3 linked regions of the Struthio camelus genome follow. The protein of the gene in region 2 interacts with the protein of the main gene of each other region in a biochemical or structural test. Links are inferred from orthologs where the notes say so. Each region holds a gene or a part of one and is shown on either strand. Other genes may lie near its edges.

The links.
Region 1: the proteins of CARD11 (region 2) and BCL10 form a complex in vitro, tested with the Homo sapiens proteins (2 studies listed by BioGRID, with this or other methods). The link is inferred for Struthio camelus from reciprocal best matches to the Homo sapiens genes CARD11 and BCL10.
Region 3: of the proteins of CARD11 (region 2) and PRKCQ, one has a biochemical effect on the other in vitro, tested with the Homo sapiens proteins (2 studies listed by BioGRID). The link is inferred for Struthio camelus from reciprocal best matches to the Homo sapiens genes CARD11 and PRKCQ.

Annotation. Positions count from the first base shown.
Region 1 is NC_090949.1:21,330,720-21,338,159, forward strand, and holds the start of BCL10 (B-cell lymphoma/leukemia 10), read left to right. Parts: upstream 1-4,304; 5' UTR 4,305-4,382; coding exon 4,383-4,454; intron 4,455-4,700; exon of another isoform or gene 4,701-4,801; intron 4,802-7,440. UniProt on the Homo sapiens protein: Plays a key role in both adaptive and innate immune signaling by bridging CARD domain-containing proteins to immune activation.
Region 2 is NC_090956.1:5,763,548-5,771,035, reverse strand, and holds the start of CARD11 (caspase recruitment domain-containing protein 11), read right to left. Parts: upstream 3,068-7,488; 5' UTR 2,803-3,067; coding exon 2,790-2,802; intron 1-2,789. UniProt on the Homo sapiens protein: Adapter protein that plays a key role in adaptive immune response by transducing the activation of NF-kappa-B downstream of T-cell receptor (TCR) and B-cell receptor (BCR) engagement.
Region 3 is NC_090942.1:4,823,703-4,831,764, forward strand, and holds the start of PRKCQ (protein kinase C theta type), read right to left. Parts: upstream 3,186-8,062; 5' UTR 3,065-3,185; intron 2,910-3,064; exon of another isoform or gene 2,805-2,909; intron 2,748-2,804; exon of another isoform or gene 2,591-2,747; intron 146-2,590; exon of another isoform or gene 1-145. UniProt on the Homo sapiens protein: Calcium-independent, phospholipid- and diacylglycerol (DAG)-dependent serine/threonine-protein kinase that mediates non-redundant functions in T-cell receptor (TCR) signaling, including T-cells activation, proliferation, differentiation and survival, by mediating activation of multiple transcription factors such as NF-kappa-B, JUN, NFATC1 and NFATC2.

The sequences.
Region 1 (7,440 bases), on a different chromosome or scaffold from region 2:
AAAACATCAATACATTCCATAATCTATTCTAATAGAGGTTTGCACTTTGATTTTTTGTGACTCTTGCAGTTTCAATACTATATATCCCCATCACAAAGGAATAAAGTGTCAGTTGTACTGTGGACTGTGTAGTTTTGCCTCTTATTTTGAAACCAAAAGCACGTGTATTTGATTTTGTATTGTTTCATGCTGTTTTTTTTTTTTATTGTGAAGCTTATAACATGCCTAGAAATAAAGCCGACAATAGACACTTGTGCTAAAACCTTTAAACCTTTTAAAAGAAATCTTGGCTCTTCAAAAACAAATCATGATTTTGGGCTTACATTTAAGATAATGTCTATAGAAGAGGCATTGCCATAGTGTTCTAGATACGATGGCTGTGATTTTATTTTGTTACTGTCCAAGGTAACTACATGTTATTGTAGTATAATATTTTCTCCGTAGTCCACTGTATTTAGTGCAGGTTACACAAGGTGAAACTGCAAAGGTTTAGTGGCACGACCACTGGGCTGAATTTCTTCACAAAGCTCCTGTGTCATCTCCTCTTCATCTGAGATGTCTAGAGAGTTGACTACATTATGGACATCACACAGTGGATAACAGGGCAGATGGCTGCATGTTTTATATTTAAATCGTCCTTGTGTGCTATAAGTAGCGTATATGGCTGGTCTCTGCCTGTACCACTGTGCTCTAACATGGGTAGACTATGATTTGAGAATTAATCACAGCGGGAGACAATGCAGTTACTCTGGGCTGCGTGGACCATGTAAGTGCTCATAGGTGTTCAGTGCCACCTTGTGGCAATCGAAGTTTTAATTAGTCAAGGCCTCAGTATTGTCACTTCAACTTTGTATTTAAGAAAATCCAACTACTGTACTGTAGCAAAAGAATTGTATCACGTCCAGACTGTACAACCTCTAATGTGGATACATTTAGCTTGGTGCAATTACTTAATATTATAACCAGCACCATATATAAGCATCGTTGTATAACCACATCTACAGGGGAGAGTTGATAGCAATTTACTTAAATTTGTTTCTAAGTGACAGGAATTAAAAATAACACAAAAGCTACAGAAAAATATTCCCATTTGCCACATTAAGAAGCTCCGCTCAAAGAATATAGAAACATGCAAAAGCATGAAAATCATTTAAAAAGAAGTGCCCGTTGAGAAATTCAGCTGTAGACTATTACTGTAGCCAGCACAAACTTTCTGTGCTGGGTATACAAGTTCACGCTCCACTGTAAATGCAGTCTGCCAAAAAGCATCAGTCATAACCTCCCGCAGGTGCCAGGCAGGGGCTGTGGCTTGAGCAAGGGCTTGTCCCAGGGCCACCCTGACCTGCGCATGAGAAGGGGGCGAAGGGCCAGAGCTGGCACCACACCCCTGCAGGACAGGATTGGGGGGGGGGAGGGGGGAACACGGCTGGTCCTGAGCACCAAGGTGGGGAGAAAGCCTGGAGCTGGTCACAATACAGAAAGGTCCACTGACCGCTTCTCACCAGCTGCGACAGCGTTATGACGTTTTCTGGGATCGATAGGGTGGAAGACGTGTCCTTGAGCAGCGCTCGTTTGTAAGCAGTATCTGAAATTTCACAAGCATAGTCGGGGTGGTGATTACATGTATACGTGCTCATATAACCAAGGCAGTGTCCAAAATCTTCCCAGCTCCCTTGAAAGAAATTCTCTGTAATGCACTCCTAAGACTCCCTTCTTGAAACTGAACTGATCCTGACCTCCTGAAATGAATTTCACACTGACAGTAGTCGTCTTCCAGCTGCCTGGACCATTAATTCCTGTCAGGAGTTACTGGCAGTAAACCTGCTAAAATGCAGTCTATTCTTGTATTCGCTACCAGATGCCCTTTTCTCTGATTCCTGAAGTTCATTCCTTGCAGTTTGTCTCATACACGGCTCAGGAATCCAGGAGTCTAGCTCTCCAGACATCACATGGCTTTGAACTGCACCTCGGTCACTGGGCAAGGTTATTTTTAAATATTCTAAATCCAGAATGTGCGGTAGCTATTTTTATCAAAAGTATTATACGGAGCCAGCAAAATCTGCACCAGCATTCACCTTGACGAGGAGGAGCTGGAAGTCACTGGGGTTAATGAACATGAATGGGAGTCAGGAGCTGGGGACATGCCTGGCTCTGTCCCAAAGGCGTCAGCTGGCCACGATGAGCTCGCTGGACACTTCAGAGGCGCTGAAACCCGGCCACGTAGTTGGGTGCCTAACACAGATTAAGGAGTATCAATTTAGGCACTGGGACTTGAAAAGTACCGCCATGCCCTTCAGCTCACTGGAAAGGAAATACAAAGTAAATATTTGTTTACATCATATTTGAGATGTTTAATCCTCAAATACACAAGACAGCTTTGGGATCCTCAAATGTGCTAGAGCAAAAAAAGGGTTCCTGGGTGCACGTAACAACGCTGCAAGACTGGGGCTGTAGCAGGGGTTGGTGCCAGGCTGCGACCAGGCAGGGCTGCCAGCGGGCAGCGAGGGGGCGGCCGGTGGCGAGGCCCTTCCACGGGTAGACATGTCCTTTGCAGCAGCAGCAGGGAGCGGAGCTTGGTGATGGTTTCTGATAGCCACTTTGCAGCCTGGCTGTGGTTTTAACAGCCAAGTCAACGGAAATCAGCATTGTCTCCAGGTTAACAATGGTGACTGAAGTGTCCTGGGCAGGGCACTTTAGTGTCTGCTGAAAAGTTGGAAAAGCAAGCACTGTGAAATAGGTACCGTGACAGTTAATATCTGAAGTATGATCCCACTAAAAAGGCATACCCTGGAAAAGGACTTTTGCAAGACGTTTGCAAAACCAGTTTTCCCTTAATAACAGCAAGAGCTACTACTGATTGTTTCTCCTCCTTATACGTGTTAATGTTTAACTACCAGTTTTAAGACCTCAGCGATAGCCTTTGTTTTGCTTTCGACAAGCTGAGAGATCGTTTACTCCTCAGGCTTCGCCCTGGGCGGGCTTTAAGCGCTCGGCTGCGGCGCCGCCGCCGCCCCGTCGCTGGGAGCCGCCGCGGCGAGGGCGGAGCAGCCCCGCGGGCGCGGAGCGGCGCCGCCGCGGCCTCCCCGTGGCGTCCTGGCACCCTCTAGCGACGACTTTCTTTCTTTCTGGCTAAACGAGCAGCAGCCGCTCCCAATCTTTGCATTTAAAGCTCTACTGTACCTGCTGGTATGTACGTAACGTCTAGCACCCAAAGCAGAAGCGTCCTTCAGTTATTTTGTTAGAAGCTAATTAATCATTAGAGATTTTTTTTTCCCAACAAATGAAAATTATTTCTTATGTCTCTCTCAACATTTCTTGCTTTGCTTTCCCATTTCTTCCTACTTCTATGCTCTTGTCAGTACCCGTGCTTCCTTTTATGCTTCTTCTACGAATTATTTTCTTTTCAGAAAATATTTTCTTCCCTCTTCAAAGGTATTTTCTAATCGAATCGCCTCTCATTTAATTTTCCATGCTCTCTCTCACTGTCTCTTGCCATTGTTGCCCAGTTTTATTCCGTAACTATGACCACTCTTCCACCTCGACCTCTCTTATTTTCTCATGTAATCCAAGACTTGGATGACATGCAGCCTCCCAAGCAACTTGCTGTCTCCCCCAGCCCTCCTTTCCAGACGCACGCTCTGATTTTCCTGGGAGCTCACTACGTAATGACTGAAAAATCGTTCCCTCTTGTCACGAGTGTAGCGCACTGGAAATACCTAAATGCTAAAATAAGAGCATGAGGATACCAAGCCTTCGGAGGGGTATGGTGGGTGCTATCAATTAATTGTTGCCCTGTCAAGAACGAGATGCCTATTTCTCAGATACTGCCCAGCTTCTGAGTCGCCTCACACGCCGACGGACAACTAGTCAAATCACAGCATCAGCGTGCCTGCGGCCGGCGACCCGACTCGAGCCCTCGGGGGCCGCCGCTCGCCGGCGGGGCGCGGCCTCCACCTTGGCTTGTTTCCAGAACCGCGGGAATCCTTAAAGACAGCCACTCGCGGCGGCCGCCGCCGCCGCCGCCTTGCACCACACCCCGCGGCCGCCCACCGCCGCCCCCGTAGGTCAAGGCCCTGCGCGGAGCGGGCGGCAGCGAAGCACAGCCCCCCGCAGCCGCCCCGCCCCCCGCCCCTAACGGCAGGCAGCCGTTGCGCGGAGCCCAGGGCCGCCTCAACGGCCGCAAAGTCCCCGCAGGGGCGGGGCGAGGCTGGGCGCCCCTGCGCACGCGCGTGGGCGGGGCCTGGCCACGGTGGGCAGCCCCGCCCCCTGCGCGGGGGCGATTGGCCGGGGGGCGGGGCGGGGCGGGGCCGGCGGGGGCGGGGGCCGGAAGCGCTGTCGCGACCGGTTTTCCCCGGCGGCGGCGGTGGCGGTGGGTTTCCGCTATGGAGGGTCTGGGGCCGGGGTCCGTGGGGCGGCTGCTGACGGAGGACGAGATGGCGGAGGTGAAGAAGGAAGTGAGTGGTGGGCAGGGCCGGGAGGCTGGGATGCCCCCGGGGCGGCGGCGGTGGGGGGCGGCCCGGGCGGCGGAAGCGCCATCAGAGCGGGGAGACGCCAACGGCCGCGGGGCCGCCGGCCGGCTGCGTGCGCGCGCCCCCGCCGGGCGCCGGCCGGGCACGTGCCGCGGCGGGGCCGGGCCGGGCCGGGCCGCCGGGGCCTCGGCGGAGCGCCCGGCGGTGAGGGAGACGGCGTGCCCGAGCCTGCTGCGGGGCCGGCTTGCTTTGGTTTTCTTCTGGCTTTCTGGACTGCTTGGCGGTGCTTGGAGGCCAGAGCAGCGGAGGGTCCCTGTGCGCCGCGGTGAGGGGTAGGGTAGCAGGGACAAATAACTAACGCGGGGTCCAGGAGTTACCTGTAAACGTGCTGCTCTCGCCATTACCGAGGCTGGCTCTTGTAGAGCGTGACTCTCTCTATTAAATACTGGCATTTTTTTGATTTTTTTTTAAAGGCTTTTCTTTTGTTTTCTTGGTGTTTTCCCATGTTTGTTCGCTGATGCTTGGGACCTGACAAAATTATTTCACCCTTAAAATCAAAAGAAAGAAGCTGCTGAAATCGTGATGCTTCATGACTGTAAATCCCCAGGAACAGGAAGAGAAACATTGCTAATTAGGAGTTTTCTTTAGTCCTGATGATACTCCGTTGTGGTTATGGGAAGAGAGGGCAAATGACAGGTTTGGCCACTTACTTCTGCAAATGCTTGCAGAGAGTTAAGTGTGCAGCTGTGGAACATCAGTGTATCTTAGGCATGAGGACTCTATTTTGCTGTGAGTTTTGTATGTTTTTTCTATTAGACAACAGTCTTGCAACCCTTGTGCTCTGTGAAAAATCACAACCAGTCGCTGAAATTTGAGACAATTTGTCAATAAACTGTGAGTGGGAGAATACAAATATGTGAGGAATAAGAAAATTCTTTTAGTTTTCATTCTAAGCAGAGATAAAATTCTGTATTTTCATTCTGGGAAACTGTCTTCCATCCTGGTTCAGTCTGGAATTGCAAATCGGTTTGCTAGACTGCAAAACAAGCAATGCGCTAACCAACCACATAGTCTGAAAGGAACATATACTGGTTCTTATTTATTTATTTATTTTAAACATTCACCACAGTTTGTCATTTATTGCTTGATCATGCATAGCATCTGTTTATAATGTACAATGTTTTATATTTGATTTATATTTTGTTGCATATGCGCCTTTAAAACATATAAACTTCTTCTATAGACTTTCTTTGTTTGACTTTTTTTTCCTTTCTCCTCACATGTCTCTTAACATTCTTTACTGAACTAATAATGATATTGTTGAAGACTGGTTTCTTAAAAGCTTAATGCATATTAAAATTTTCCTTAATTCCTTTGTGATAACTTTTTGAGGCATGTTTTTCAAGTTATTTCTTGCTTCTATAGAACCATAGGGTAATACTGCATTAGTTAACAGCTGGTAGTTTAAAAACATTCAAGGTAGGAACTTCTTAAGCCAGATGATATATGTAACATGATATGTAAGTTAATTTGTGTAAGCGACTGAATTCACACATGCCTTTTTGTTTTTATAGAAGTGCATCTATGTCAATTCAGCCTTTAATCTTATAGGATCTCCTGTACTGACTGGAGAACCTGATGGAAACCTTAATGCTTAGTAGAAAATGATTAGTTTTATACAAATACGTTACATAGATACAAAGCGCTGGTTCAGTGTAAGGTTTCTTAGCTGTTTCAAAGTTATCCAAGTAATTTTGATAGATCAGCCTTGCAATGATGAGTTCTAGACCAAATGAGGCCTTGGTCTGTCCTCTCACAGTCAGCACAGCACTAGTATGATCTTGCCACTCATTGAGTGAGCATAACATTATTTCAGCTGTTTGTCTGTGTGTCATCTAGATTAGATGATGGACAAGACAACTGCTTTATTGGGTAGTATGCAGAACCAGCTTAATCATTGTGAAACCATAGCTGCAATAAAAGTTTAGTTCCAAATTAATGTCAGTCAAAGTGTTGTTATAGATCACGTGTGGAATAGGAGGGCTGACTGCCTCTAATCATGCGATCAGAGTTTATTGACTGCTTTCAAGTTTCAGAGTTTGACTGCTTCCTGCTGGTGGTAGGATGAGATTTGTATGAGAAATAAATTTGTATTGCCCACAAAGTTCCTAGGCATTCAAGCATGGGCTTGTTGCGATTGGATGCTTGGGATTAATCCAGAGCACCTTAAATTGATATAAGTTGTACCATTTCCCTTTTCTGTTCTTAACATCTCTGTTATGCCAGCACTAGTGCCCATGTGACTGCACAGTAAACTGGATGCGGGGGGTGGGGGGAATGTGGGATCAGTTTCTTGAACTGGATCCTCTCAGGCACCAGTGCAAGGGAAAGGGTGGGAAAACCTAGCTGTGATGCGGACGGGACTGCGTCTTTGTGCCTAAGTTAGTTTCAGCTACCATGGATCTGCGCCCTTATTTTTAATTTTACGTTATAATCAATCTAGTGATTATGATCTACTGCTAAAAGCCTTCCTTTCTCCTCCATCCATGCTCTTTGGACGTTTTCCTTAGCAACTGTGTGGCGTCACATCCAGTGTGAGAGGATGTTTATTGATGGTTTAGTTTTTGTTGGATTCCCTGAGGGAGACTGCAAGAACAGATTTTTATTCTGCTGTGCTTAGTGAAGTAGATGAGGAAGTCCAGGAAGACTACTTTATTTTTTATTTTATTGTTTTAACTTTAATTAAGAACTATTGATGCTACCTCTAGCACAATATGCCAGATGGTATTTTGCTCCTTGTAGTAACCTGTCCTAAAGTGTCTTTCTTTTTTTTTTTTTTTTTCAACTTTTTCTCCATTTCTTTTTACTGAGCCAGTAAATTGCTATAAAGCAAAAAGTCATTTTTATCTTTTAATTTTTAAATGCTACTTTCACTGAATCTAATCACTAGGTGTCAACTTGATAGAACAGC
Region 2 (7,488 bases):
AAGGTTCAAATTGCTTCTAATTTTAACAGAGGCACATGCAGCCAGACCATTCTCTTCTCATGAATGTTGAAAGTTTATTTTTCTCTTAATTCAGAGCTAAATCTATTTGGAAGGAACTCTCTGCATATGAACAGGGAGTTAACATGAGGTTCTGAATCTCTTTTCTGGGGGAGCACCTCCCAGTACAGGAATTTGCTTGGTAGGATGGAAGGTGTTCATGTTCTTTCTAGCTGAAATCTCTCTCTAGACCCAAGGTACTAGAGTGAAAAGAATTTATCTCTGGCTCCTTGTCCCCTTGCAACTGCCACAACCCAGCTTCAACAATTTTTAACTCAACCTGTGGCAAATTACGAGGATGGAGAAAAAAAAAAAAAAAAGAGTGAGAGAGAAAAAGAGAGGGAAGTTGTCTCAGCCAGTTTGTTTTTGGGACATACCAAGGCATCAGAACAGGGACAGTTCTGGGGGCACAGAATACTGTAAAAACAAAGCACAAGATCATCATACAAGTTTTGCAGAATGACTAAAAGAAACACAAGAACTTTTCATATCACAGGATGAGTTGTAACAGAGTAGGAAAGAGTCATATTAGATCTGTATGAATAAAATGAACATCTCTTTTATTTTGTCATTCTAGGTTTGTGGACTTTTCACAAGATCCAGAAGACAAAGATATTATGATGTAGCTGCTTCTGCATTCAGAAGAGAATGTTCATAGCTCAAAGGCCACAGTTTGATAGCTCTGAATCAGAAAGGATATATTATAATTGCAAACATAAAATTTAGGCTTCTTTCACCCATAAGGAGATGAACAATTTTTAAGAAGATGGATGGGGTAGATTGTTAACAGAATTCGCCTACATAATAATTCTCTTATTAATTCGACTGAGTTTAATAAGTGATCCTTATTCAGTCCTCAAAAGCCCACATCAGAACATTCTTAGAAATAAATCTTCAGTCCCAATAGTCCTGCTTCAGAATGTGAGGCAAAAAGGCTTCATCAAAGAAACTTATTTCTTTGCTGTATCTGGTTCAAAGCTTACAAACTTAAACAGGCAATAATACCAGCTATTGTTCTTGGATGCAATTTTTAGCCATGTTTGATCTTTGAGACTCACTAATATATCTAGTATAGAAGAAATGAGCTGTTTCCAGATCCTAGGAGCAAAGTTACTCCCACCATAGTATTACTGTAGAGAACCTCTACCTCTGAGATTTGAAACTCCAAGGGAGTTTCAAATCAGCAGGACAAAAACTACCTCAGTGTCAGAGCAGAAGTTCGGCATTGGGGCAGGCAGACTGCGGCTTTATTTAGGCTAGTAAAATGGCTTATAATCACTTAGAAGAAAGTATCTCCTCTAGAACCATTTTTACAATTTTCAAAAAACATTTTGGATTGTGCTCTCCCATTTCTCTATCCACACTCACTCCCACTCTTATGCTCTTACTCTGCTGCAGCTTGCATATTCTGCGAAGGAAAGAGAAGCTGAAAGACTGCAACACTTCCTCCAGTTCCCCTGCAGGTACTCAGGGGGGATGCTAAGACAGCAGAGACTAAGACCAGTGGCTCCTTCCAATATGAAGTCAACATCAAGACAAAAAGAGATGGAGAAACCTGCTGAAAGATTGGGGTAAGGACTTAAGGAGGAGCGAGATGACAGAAAGAGGAGCGATAGAAAGAACTATGTCAGAGATGGCTGTATTTATAAGTAGAAAGGAAGCTATGGTGTGTTAGAGGTGTTAGAAAATTCTGTTCATGAGACAGAAAGAAACAGAGTCAGAACGACAGGGGTTATTTGTTGTGAATGACCAGATATGAGTGTGAGAATTGGAAGGAAGCTGTGCAAGTATAAGAGTCTGGTATTTTGGGATGGGAACTTGTTTAGCAAATCCTGCATGCGTACAAGAGAGAAAGGGTAGACAGGAAAGCAGCATGTGTGTGCAAGGACAATTCAGCAGAGAGACAACACCACTGTGTGTGCAAAATTAACTTTGCGGGGCAGCAATGTACGCTGTGTGCACGAGAAAGGAGATGGGGCAGGAAGTAGTGCGTGTGAGAAGCCAGAGGAGCAATGGGAAAGGGGAACACAAGACAGAGAAGAAGGAAATGACAGGGTGGAAGGAGAGAAAGATTAAGAACATGGGGCAGGATGTACAGTCTATTGCACAGGCAAAAAAGAGGAGGGGGAGGGAAGGCAAAGAAAGGGGCAAGAGGAACATTTGTTATACAGAATTATGCTTGATGAAAAATAGACATAAAAAGATGGTGGAAAAGTCAGTAAGAGATACATCAGGGTTGAGAGAAGACTAAAGGAAGTGAGAAGAACAAATTCAAAGAGAAAAAAAAAACAAAGGAGAAAGATTTTGTTATTTGATAGAAAGCATAAATGCCCAGTGAAGAGATTTAAAGTAAAGGTAGAGCACAACATACCATGGGTAGAAACAGAAATTCCCTAGAGGCCACTGCTCACAATTAGTCCTTTCATCTCCCCTCTCCAGACCTCCATTTCCATTCTCCTTCCCAGTGCACACTTTATTTGCAAACATATGTGCACCTTCAGCTACAGCCTGTTTGCTTCACTGAACCCCGCGCTCTAAATATTTGTGCGTGCAAGGTACAATTAGACCTGTTGAGTGCAAGGAAGGAGCTAACATAACCATTCTCAAAGAAACGTGCTCTTGAAAATGAACACAAAAAAAGTGAAAGGTGAAAGGGGAACCGGTATGATTAGAATCAGGTGCTATCCTAACCAGCAGTAAGGTGGAGCTGATTTGATAGCTGCTTTCCTTACCTTGGGTGCTCATGAGTGACCGGGGCTGCCTTGCTGCAGCTGCTGCAGGCTGAAACTCCCTACGTCGCCTCCATGCAATTGTCACTGTCTCTCTCCAGCAGTCCTGGAGAGGTTATCTGTGCTCTGAAGCTGTTGAAAAGTAAAGGAAATACAAAAAGCAAGACACTCCCTTTGCCTCTGAAGTGCCAAAAGTTTAGGAAGAATCAGGAATAAAGGATGCAAGCGCCCCGGTGTCAGAATGAGCAAAGAGCGACACAGAAAGTAAGAAAAAGTGTGTCAGAGCCTGGGAGGGGCGGGGAAGGAAAATGCAAAGATCTGACAGGAAACCAGACTATAAATCTGCTTAAGGTTTAAAAAAAACACATTTCTGCTCCCCAGCGATACAGCCTGTTTGCAAATGACTCTGCTTGCAGGTGATAGCAGAGCCCTGAAGTACCACCGCAAGAAAATAAATAGGCGCTTCTGCCCCTTCCCCAGAAAGAGCAGAGGGCAAAGTCAGCAGCAGCACAAGCACAAAAAACTGGCTCAGAGAGAAAAAAGAGGTTATGTCCTTGCCCTTACTTCTAGTTCCTCAGGCTTTTAGAGTATGTTTCCCTCAGGCACAAAGGGACATGTTGAATGCCAGCTTTAGGGCCGCTATGCTGCTCGCAAAGCAGCAGCCCTTGCTTCTCATTGCACATGCTGGCTGGAGAGAGGGCAAGAAGAAAGAAAGAAAGGACCGTGCTCTGAACAGGAGACAGTTTCAAGAACAGCAGTTTCAGGCAGAAGGGGTTTTGGGGTTTCCCAAGGTTTCAAAGACTTTTTGAGGAAACATGTATTTGATTAACAGCTGCTGTTGTTGTTGAAAGGGAAGTCAACAAGATTTACTTCATATAAATATTATTTTACAGTTGCATGATACTTTAAACAATGTACTTTACAAAGGGGGTGGACTCCTCATTGGCATAAATAAGCTGCAGTATCTTGGACTCTAAGATCTGGTATAGCTTTAATGCTGGACTCTGGCCTCCAGGCCACACACTGGTAGGTCTCACTGAGGACATTTACCTGCTAGGTCACAAATAAGAGCTTCCCACCACGGGCAAGCCAGTGGGAGCAAAGTAAACCAGTCCTTTCCCTTACTGTTTCCTAGTCGTGCTGGATCAGTATTTACCACCACCACTAGCAACCTTTAATGCTGCTGCCATCTTGCACAGGGATCCTCGGCCCAAATCTCTCATGATGCACCTGCCACACTTGCTGGTTCTTCTTCTGCTATTGCCTGTTCACCCTCAAGAGGAAAACAAAGCACAGATACTGCTCTTCTCCCAGTTACTCCCTAGGTTTTGCCCTTCACACTGAGTGGACTGAGGTGAGGCTTCAAGTGAAGCCTCGCCAGAGTCAATAATAGGTCCTGAATGTGTGAGAAGTCAGAAGAACCCTTGAGGAGTCACATGTGCATCCACAGGGATGTGTGCATGTGAGGCTGACTCTCTGTGGTTGGAAGAAAGCAGCCATGTATGCACATGTATATACACACGTATACACACACATGTATGTGTACTTATCTCATATGGAAAACTACTAGAGAAGAAAATGCATAAAGACTAGGAATGATAAGCATACTTGAGAAATGATTCAAAGAACTGAGGAATGTGAGAAGGGAAGAGGCACGATGATGGTAATGGAGTGAGAGAAAAAGAAAGTTAAAAATAGTTGCTAGAGAACAAAGGAAAACACAACGAATGGAAAGTAAGTATAAAAGAACAGTGGAAACACTATCAAAACATACAGCAGCATCAAAGAAAATAATGGAGGAAGTGAGATGATAGTGAAAAGAAGAAATGTCAGGGAGAAAATACATGGCTCAAAGTGTTATTACAGAAACACTTAAAAGTGTTCTTACTGAACTGAAAGCTTGAATCCCATGAAGGCTGGGAGAAGGCAGAATATATCTACTAGGGGAGCAAAATGTGTGAGGAATCCCAGCTCTAATTTTCCCTTATGGTCCCTCTGATTTCCTGTGTTTGCACCTGTTCTTGGATTGATAAGGGACCTAAGGATGCTCTAAGGATGACACTGAAAAGGATTCTGAAGGGCATTCTGTTTCTCTAAATCAAGAGCTCAAAAACTAAGGAAGGCAGGAATTTCTCTCTCCTAGTCTCTGCTGGGCAATAGGAGAACCTGTTATCCCCTTTCTGGGTTTTTTTTTCCCCCCCTAATCAGGACTACACTGTTATGTGCTACTTATATTCTTGTGCAACTCTATCAGAATTCACCTGTGAACAAACCTGTGCACTGCATGTGATAAGGGCAAGGAAAGCTTCCTGCTTTGAGCAGCCAGAAATTTATCCATGTGACAACTACATGGATGAGGATCTGCAGTTTTTGACACAGGACCAGCGCAACTGGGGAAAAACCATACCTTGCAGAAAAACAGTGAAATACTGATATAAGAATTGTGGCCTACAATTATTTCATCAAAAGTGATATAAGTTATTTCTTATCCCAGCTTTCTACTGCTTTCATAGAGGAAGCTGATTTGTGCATGCAACTGAGGAACCATTCGCAGCACAACCGGAGCAATTAGCTCTGCTGACAGGAGGCTTTGTAGCTTCACTTCCATTTAAAAACCACAGATCTTCCACGCACAGACCAAGCTACAGTTCCTAATCTGAAAGGAAGAATGTGCTAGAAATTCAAGTCAAAACTCACCAAGTCCCTGTTTTAGGTTTTCCCTTCTGTCCTTGAGTTCTTCAGCAAATGGGAAAATATCAGCCAGTAGACTATAAAACTGCCCTCCAGAGTCAAGCAAGGAATTAGGTAGTAGCTGTTGCTCTTTCTGCTTTTGTTCTGCTTAATGCTGTAGATTATAAACAGCTTTCAAAAGGTACAATACCTGTTCTAAAGATCACAGATTTCCCTGGGCCCAGAGTGAAGCCTTAGAGACAAAGCAATTATCCAATGAGGCTTGAACAACCTTTCACTGAAACTCAAAAGACCTAAAACTGTCCTACTCCTAAAGACTTCCCTGGTAAACTGAGATTATCCAGTTGTGACCCAGTCATCAGTCAAAAAGTTACACATAACTCAGTTTCTATCTTTTTTATAAGAATTTATAATCTTAATGCTAGGTTTCAGTTTTTAAAAACTCTCTCAAGACATAAAAATGTTATGATTTAGGTTATAGTTCCTTGAAGCTGGTAGACTGAGGTGATGTGTTTCACACATCAGTAGATACATCAAAAGTGAAGAAAACAATTATGTTCTGTCAGGCAACCAGAAAATTCAAGAAAATCCAGATGATCCACCTAAAATACAAGAATATGGCAAATTGCTGCAGAATTTGAATCAGTCGGTTTCCTGATGCAAATGTGGGGGCTAGGACCTTGTCTGGTAGAGCTACATATCTTTCAGAGAGCAGCAACAAGAAACAATCCAGAAATAGATATATTAAGAGTTGAAAACTGGGAATACATCTAAAACGAGCACTAGAAACATGATATTGAGAAAAAGAACAGAAAGAGCTTTGCTGAACTGTCTGGCTGAAAAAAAAATACTAGAAGTATGATTAAACTGTCTTTTGTTATTTTACTCCCATTCAATTCTGGGAAGCAGGAAATTTTTCTTTTTTTGTAAGTAAGCAGAATTGCCTCAAAGAGATACCTGGCTCCGTCGTCTATTTCTTTGTGTAACTAAAATCCACCAGAACTTTTAATTCAGCTGGCTGCCCAGGTTAAGGGGTACCAATATACTTTTTTCGTACAGTTTCTCAGTCTCCTTTCTATATGCATGGTGCAGGAAACAATAAATTGAACCTCTGCCTGCAAGGGAACTACCCCTCACATGGAAATTCAACTGGTGGGACACATGTGGTATATTTGCTGTCACTGTCTTTCAAAGAGACTTCAGGAAAGGAGAGCATTTTTAGTTTCTTCCAATTGCTCTAATTGTTCTAATTCTGCATGATCTGAGCCTTGATGGTAAAACTTGAATAACAAGTGTACTGTAAGCCTTTTTATGCTGCTGTACACTGCTGTACCTTTCCATCCTCCAGGCTTTTACTTTGAAATCCTTGCATAAAAAGCCCGCACAATTTCAAGATTACATTATGCATTCTATTAGAGTGATGAAACTGCAGAGAAGACTTATCATCTTAGAAGTTCCTTTACAATGTTGCTGGCCTCTTAAGTATTTTGCTCCTAGCTACTTCCAGACCATAACGTTGTTATGTTATATCTATAGCGAAAGATTCTCCTTCTGACTGTGCCATAGGCATTACATTAAATGTGTTTATCCAGTAGAAGATGTTCCATGTACACCATGACTGCCTGTAGAACATCTTTCAGCAAAGGTGGTTGATCGGAATGGTAGGCCATAACTCAGAAATGAAACTGCTAGATATCTTTAAATAGTTGGAGCTGGAGAGCTGAAAAAAATCAGCAGCTGGAAGCAGAGAAACACTAAACTGTCCAGCTCTTAATCTGCTGTTCCTCTGCTTCCATTCCTTTCTCCCCCAAGAGAGCAATCCCAGCCCATGAAGAGACTGCCCTTGACTCCTTATCAGTGTAACAGTCCTGCAAACCTCTGGATACCAGAAACGCATTTCACAAACTAGTGATCTGAGAATTAATATACTGCATTTCTCCTGGATGTCTAAGCTCAGTAGCGCCGTATATATTGTTAACACAACCCTTCCAGCTCTTCAGAGCAAAGAAAC
Region 3 (8,062 bases), on a different chromosome or scaffold from region 2:
AAGTGTGAATTAAATGCTTCCTTCCATCCCTCCTTCCTTGTCTCTCTCTCTAATCCTGTCCTCTGAGGCCCTCCACTTTGGATGCAATAGTGAGGCAGCCGGTGCATTTGTGAGAAGCTCTGAGAGTCGACTGAGTGACTTTCTTTGAAAGGAAGCTCACTTGAAGTAGAAAAAAAAAAAGTTAGCTCCACCCTGGCGGTGTAATAGGTCCTTGTTCATAGCTCCCTTTGCTATGAACCTGCTGTGTGTTGGTGGCAGTGTGGTTCCTTTCCTCTACTGTATCTCACAGGCTTCAGAGGGACAGAGAAGTTCTCCAAGTCCCTCTGTGAACAGGATGGGCTGCAAAGGGTGTCAGATAGGAGAAGCCTCGTCTAGCCTGAAAACAGGATGGCTACCTCCTCACCAAAACCCCCAGTGTCCTAAAGCAGAAAGATCGGCAAGTTCTCCAGAAAGACATCTGGCACTGCAGGCTTGGAGTGTAATTTTGAAAAATTGGTGTGTATTTCTTGGGGGGGAGGGGGAAGAAAGAAAGAAAATTTTTGCCCTGATTACAAAAACGGCCTGGGTAGAAAGGGGATGCTGAGATGGAAGATGGAGGTTCAGGAGGAATGTGAATCCTTGAAATGACTTTACAAAATCCTAATGGACATCTAGAAGTGGGGCTCAGAAAGGCTAGCCAAAATGTCATGGGGGGAACTCTGGAGGAAATGGAGAGGTTTAGCATCACTCAGGGAGCTCCGGGAGAGTGAAGGCTGCTGGATGTTGAAGTTTCATGTCCAGCCTAGGCACCATCAAAAGAGACCATGGCAACTACCCTCACTGGGATCCAGGTTCAACACCGGTGTCAGGTGTTCAACAAAAGGCCGCTCACCAGGCCTGTGGCCTGTAAAAAAGAGGCTATATCTCAGGAGGCCATCTGCTACCACCAGCTGAACAGAGCCTTGCTGCACCACAACAAGTTGAGGCAGGAACCTCCTCAGAGCAGGTGCTCTTTGCTCATCCTTCGGCTGGGCTCCTAAAGCACATTCCCCAGAAACCAGAAAATGGCACATCAGTGGGGATGTGGAGTCCTTTCTTCAGAGAGCAAAAAAACCAAGCAAATAAATAAAAAAACAAAGCATAGGTCCAGGACCCCATGGAACCGGCTGTTCAAAAAAGTGAAGACCAGAATATGGCACTGCTGCTCATTGCAAACAGCTCTGTTTTTCTCTCCCCCTTCGCCTTTTTTTTTTTTTAATAGCAAGTTCAGTGAAACTTTATCTCTTCCTGCCCTAGTGACCTTACTAAATAATCTGCTATTAGCATGACTCAATTGAGTGGCTTTCAGCTGCTCAAGTCATTTTCTTTGCCACTGCCATTTCACTGGTGGAAATTAAAAAGCACATGAGGAGCTTTCTGCCCCTGCAAAGAGCTGCACTAGTCTGTGTGACTGGAGAAACACACAGCTGAGAAGTTGGTTGCATTGTAATCACTATTTAAAGAGTTCATTAAAAAGGAACTGATTACACCCGAGAGTTTAACTTCATTAGCATTTAACATGCACGCAACACAAATGAAGTCTCAAGGCTGAACGGCCAGGCTGGGTTTTCAAGTCTCCTCCTTCAAAAGGAAATGCCGCTCACAACACTACACAGCGGAGGAGGGATGGAGACAATTCATTTCTCTTTACCACTCAAATGAGCTTTCAAACTTATCACAGTGCTAGTTTGTAAAATATTACAAATTGGACCCGAAAATGATTTACCCAGCTAATGAGCTACAACATCCACCCGAAAACTAAACTTCAACCTGGCTGTCTTACTGCATACTGCTGTAACCAAGAAACACCTAAAATACATCAAAGAAACTAGCAGGGGAAAGTATTTCCCTCTTTTTTTTTCCAATTTATTTACTGTGTGTGTTCAATAACATTCTGGCTGTAGTAGGTTTTCACTGTTTTTCTCAGTCATTTTCCCCTCTTTGTATTGCATGAAGACACAAGGGAGAAAACAACACTTTTTAGAGGCAGGAAAATGTGATTATGAAACCACAAACACTTGCAAAAGACATCAGGTGTATGAACCTGAAAGTAATATAAACTGTTATTTAAGAAAAAAAAAAAAAACAACCAAAAAAACCTTCTGGCTGTATTTCAAGTTGATGATGGCTCTTCAGTTCAGTAACAGAATGAGAAACGATAGCTGAAGCAGGGTAAAATAGCAGCGTCCCGGGTAAAATGAGACATCGACAATCCCAAAGAGTTCCCCAAATTTTTTCTCTCTCTCTCCTTGTGCCTTCAGCCAAGCTGCTGGGTGGTGGAGAGGTGGTTTCTGGGCACCCAGGACGTTAGGCACCCCGAGGCTGCCTCCCTCTTCCCTGCCCAGGGTGTACGCACAGCACATCGCCTTCGTGCACCCAAGGGTCTCACCCCCGACACCTCCGCAGTGGGACAGCTGGTCCGGTCCGGCCCGGTCGCGCACCCACCGCACCGCTCCGCACCGCTCCGCTCCGCACCGCCGGCGGCACCTGCTGCCCGCTCGGCTCGGTGCAGCCCAGCGCGGCTCGGTGCAGCCCAGCGCGGCTCTGCTCAGCCCGGTTCAGCGCGGCTCACCTCGGCTCGGCTCGGTTCAGCTCAGCTCAGCGCAGCTCGCCTGGGCGCAACCCAGCTCAGCCCCCGTCAGCTCGGCTCGGCTCGGCTGAGTCCGGCTCGGCTCCTTTGCAGCGCTGCCGGTCGCAGCCGCCCCCGCCCCGCCGCCTGCCACCCCCGGGGCTGCCCTCGCCGCCTCTTCCTCCTCCTTCTCCTCCTTCTCCTCCTCCTCCTCTTCCTCCGCGCCACCTGGACCGGCGCCCCGCTGGGCCCCCTCCGCTCCCGCCCCCTACCCGGGGCATCCCAAGGGCCCGATCCCTGGGTGGGAAGTGCTGGCGGCCGGGTAAGTACCGTGGTGCAGCCTCGCAAGGAGCCCAGCGTCGGGGCTGGGTGTGCACAACCCCATTTTGCGGAGGAGAAAGCCGTGGTACAAAAGAAATGATCACTAATAATAATAATAATAATAATAATAATAATAATAATAATAATAAGGACAACCTGAGTTTGCTGGGGCTGCAGAGCCTTGTCCTTGTGGCTAGCTAGCGAGGTCTGCTGAGGGGTGTGGAGGGGAAGTCAAGTGGGCTGTGTCTTTCCTCATTAATCTGTCCCATCATGTCATGTGCTTGGCCATCGAGTCTTCAAAACATCTCTCTTCCAGGTGGGCCCTGCCTTGAACTAGGTTTTTAATCTGAAACAAGGCCAGGCTGAGCTGCTTGGTACACCCCTTTCAGGGCTTGAGGGTGTCAAAAGTGGGTTTTGCCCAGGACCTCCCCAAGGACACGCTCTCTGCTCCACCATTCCCATGGCCTCCTCCCATGCTGCAAGATTAGGTGTAATGCCGGGAGGACAGGCAAGTCTAGAGGGGAAAACTGGCCTGGGAACCTGGAAGATGAGTGATTAGAAGGAAAAGAAACTCCAGAAATGTAGGAGCTGAAGGGTTTTGGAGCAGTCCAACAGGACTCCTCCTGGCCATCAGGAAGGATGTGCTGCAGAAGCATGGCCACATGACCAACCCTGTAACAATAATGGGCTATGCTGTCGATAGCTGTCAAATGGGATACATATCCCGGAGACCTGCAGATGTCCGTCATGCTTCTGACAGCAGGAAAGACATACCTATAGAAGACGTGGGGCCACATTCAGGTACTTTCTGTGGATCCTAACACTCTTAGGCAACTGTCAAAGTATCTCAGATGCTTGTTCCCTAAAAAGTCAATGGAGAAAGGATCTGGGATGTAGATTGTGCCACTTTGTTGCTTTGCTGGGGATAATTCTTACCATTAAAGATGCAGGTCTGCATGCCGCCATGCAGACCTGTAAAAAAAAAGATACTTTTTTTTTTTGAAATCTTCAAAATTAATCATTTAGGAATTTTCGGAGCTCTAAGTGCTCACTTTGAGTAAGCTGGAATGTTTATTTGAATGCTGTTGTAGAAAGGCAAGATGTGATTGTTTTGCCCTTGCTGCTGATTCCTAAAACATCAACTACCCAATTATCAAAAGGGAAGGGAAGAGGAAGGGAAGGAAAGTGAAAAGGAAGGACTGCTGGGCTTTTGGAAATTTGGGGAAAATGTATTGCTTTCAAAGAGCAGTTCCCTTCTATTTGCTGGAACACTCTGAGCAACGTATAATATATATCCTTGTTATCAGCAGGAAAAAAAAGGCATTTCATGAGGAAGGTGATCTTTCATTTTAATTGCTGATATGCCATTAAATTATGTATCTATCCTTCCTGCCTGCATTAGAGTGCATTATATTGGGGGGGGGGTGTTGATACTGCAGGCATAAAAGGTTCTTCAACATCAACTGAAGGTGAGCAGCAGATAATTAAAATCCCATGTAACCCTGGAATTTGCCTGAATCTTTAAGGAAAATTGCTGACAAAACTGCCCCTTCTTAAGTTTGCAGCTCCATCAGTTGCTGGTGCTGTTACTACAATTTTCAGGAGTGTCCTGGTATTGCAGATACGCCCTTGCCTTCAGAAGCAGCTGGGAAGGCAGAGCCGGCAGATCAGCTTCCCGCTCCTACAGGCATCTGCAGAAAAGGAAGGGCAGGAGGCACTTCCACTTGCTCAAAAAGTGACCCTAAAGGGAACTTGAGGTGATGGAGACATCAGTGGGCTAGGAGTGGGAGAGGTAGCAGACCTCTGCAGACCCAAGCTGGGTGTTTTGAAACAAAAATCTCTGAACTTTCTTTTTAGTTGTGTGATACAGTAACGTGGTGGGAAGAAGACTGTAGTGTCAGCCTGCACTTAGACCGGATGCGTGCCAGCCTGGGGCATTGCAGCGGCACATTCCCAACTGTGATGCAGCCCCGTGGTCTTCTGCCTGTTCCTGGACCCCTTTGGTGTTGCACCCATAAATGCACCAGATCCCTAGTTGGGGACAGAGCAGCTAGTTACATGAGGATCACTCTGTTTATAGGAGATTTTGCAGGCCTGCAAATGGTTAGGCTCAGGGTTAAGTTCTGGCTATCACAGAACAGTGCTTTAGGCCACCTAGCTCTAAACTCAGGGCAGAAGAAGGCTTCAGCTTGCGACCTCTCCTGGCAAAGCAATTTTTCTGAGTAATGACAAGATCGCAAAGCTGGAAAGGTGCCTCGGTAGGTCACCTCATCCATCTCCCTGCCCCAAGAAAGAATCAACACAAACCCTTTCTAAGGGGGCGTTTGCTCAACTTGTCCCTCCAAGCAAGCAATGGAGACTCCACGCCTGCCCCAGGCAGCTCGTTCCAGAGCTGCTGGAAAGCGTTTCCTTTATGTGTAATCGAAACCTTCCTTGCTGTTATTTAAGCCTCCTTCTTCTCATCCTATCCACCAGGGAAATGAAGAACAGATTTTTCCCTTCTCTTTTCGCAGCAGCTTTTTGCGTTTTTAAAAATGACAGCGCCGTAGTCTGGGAGGCAGCTGCCATATTAATTACCCAGCTGACACAGAGCTTCCACTGAAACATGCATCAACTGCTGTGTATTATTATTGTCATTTAATTTGACTTGTACGACTAATCAGGCATTGCCTTCTACAACAGACGAGGCCACTCCTGTGGGTGTAGGTATTTGGAAACCAAAAGCCCTTAAAGCTGCATCTTTCTGGTGGAAAATATCACCACAAGCCATCGTGTTTTCTTTCCTGTATTTGAAAACCACCCACATTTTCAGTAAAAAAAAAAAAAAAAAAAAATTAAACTGATTGAGCATTTTGCCCAGGCAATGGGCCTTTTTGAATGGTTTCATTCTCAAAATATTTGCCACTGCTGTTTGGTTTTTAAGGATGATTACTTACAAGTTCTTTGTTAATTTATAGAAGATACCAAGGAAAAAATAACCAGGGGACACATTTAATAACAGCTGTGAAGGATGGTCAGAAATTCCTCTTTACTTTAAATTCATTCAAACTCAGTTAATGAGGTATTGAGTTCAAGCACTTGAAAAAAAAAAAAAGAAGGAAATATAGCAGGCTAGGCCATTTCCAGTCTTAAAATAACACTAGAATTGGGCTTTTTTTTTCTTTTTCTCCCTGAAGGTTTCCACTTCTGCTCAACTAAGTGTGTGCTGCATGTTAGGGCGACGTTTACGTTTCGATCTCTTCTAGCAGTCATAAGAAATAGGCTGGGAAAGAACCTGAGAGGTCACCGCATTCGTTCTCCTAGGAGGCAGGTCCGACGCGCCCCAGGCTGGTCCTGTCAGATGTCTGTCCACCCCGCTGTTATACGGATGCAGCTCGGGAGCTCCCTGGCCTCCTGAGAAGAGGACAGGAAATGCAGTGAGCAAATCAAACTTGCAAAACACTCTCTGACGATGCACGTTTCTCAGACGCTTCGCCAGAAAGGGTGCGTAACTATGGGAGAATCTACAGGGTACCGTTTGCTTTTACTGGCTTGAACCTGCACTAAACTAGAGATCTTTATTATTTCTTTCCAACTGGAAAGAGGAATATTATTACTGGAGTTGCTGCAGCGCTACCCAAGAGTTGTTCGTCTCCTGCCACCCGTATGACCACCCGAACATACGGCACAAATCATAGTCCCAAGCTCGTAAAGTTTGCTCAGCAGTGATTTTGTGAAGCTTTTTCTCAGTCTCCATTCGGTTATCTGGGGCTTGATCCTGCAGTATGTCAGTAGCCATGAGATGATGACGTTTGAAATAATCGATTTAAACAGATGCTTAACCATGCAATTCAGGGCACAGGCCCACAGAGGCAGAGCCAATTCCTGCCTTCATCTGCTCATTCCCACGTTCCACCTCCCTCCTGGGCTTGTCCTGTCTCCTCACCCGAGGTTGCATCTTCCTTGCTTTGCTGACTCAGCCTCTCATGTCATCGCGCTCTAAATCAGAGCAGCAAAACGGTCTGAATTTAAGAAAAACAAGTAAACCAAAACTGAAAAAAAAGAAGGGCTGCCCCTTGCCTGTAGCTGGGATCATTTTTGTAGGACATGGCCATGTGAAGAGCTGAGTGGGCTCAGCGGTGGTGGGGAGGAGGTGGGTTGTGGTGGATGGAATGGGTTGAATGAAACCTTTCCACCCAGCTCAGTAACTAAGAGATTCGTGATGTGGAACTGCATGGTCCAGCAAGCAGGAGAGCTGCAGGAGAGGTGTGGTGCTTTGAGGCTGCTAGAAAAAATACCAGGTCATTTGTGAACAGAAGCCGCTCTCTTCTCGCAGAGAATAGTGTCCCCATTGCTTGTACTAGAGCGATACTCGTTCACGTGTTTCAGCATAAAGATACCATCGCTGGTGAAGAGTCTCCCCAAAATGGAGATCATTGAACGCCAATACCCCGAACACGTCCTGATTTTTTGTCTTTCCCTGGGTGTTTGCTGTTCACCGCTCTTGGATACAAGCTACCAGGTTCTGGGGTTGTTGGGCTATTGGTGCACGTTTTCTGCCACACTTAGCTGCTTTATGTCTTTTTAATTAATTTAATGGGGAAATTTGAAGCAAAAAGAACAGTAATCGTCTTTGCAATCACATTGGGCTCTTTTTGTAAATGTATTTATGTATCCTCTGTATTTACTGTCTTCCTAGTTAAAAGAGCTTTAGGTTAAATTCAGTCTGGATTAGCAGAACTCACTGTCCTGGGGAGTAATGGAGGTCTAGAGCTGAGCAGGATTTCAAGCGTATTCACATTTATCTTTATAACCTGCACTAGCATTCAACACAGAAATTTGCACTCCTCTAGAGAGCACTCTAAGGACAAGATTACTAGGAGGCTGGTCAATCTTCTGCTGCCACTGTGCTAACGATACAGGGCTTTTTGTATTGAAGATGAGAGGTGCTTTTGTTTTAGGCCTGGAAGTCCGGATTTTGAGCCTTGCTGCTGACAGCTAGCTCCATGATGTCCTCCCATAGCTGATATCTATACCAAGATATATATAATATATATACCAAGCTATATAAACTTGTGTAAGCTGTGTAAACTGTAGCATAACTGAAACATGAAATGAGCATCAGAGGTAGAAGATGCATATGATGCTGTGGAGGTGTTGCTGTGGAGGTGTCCC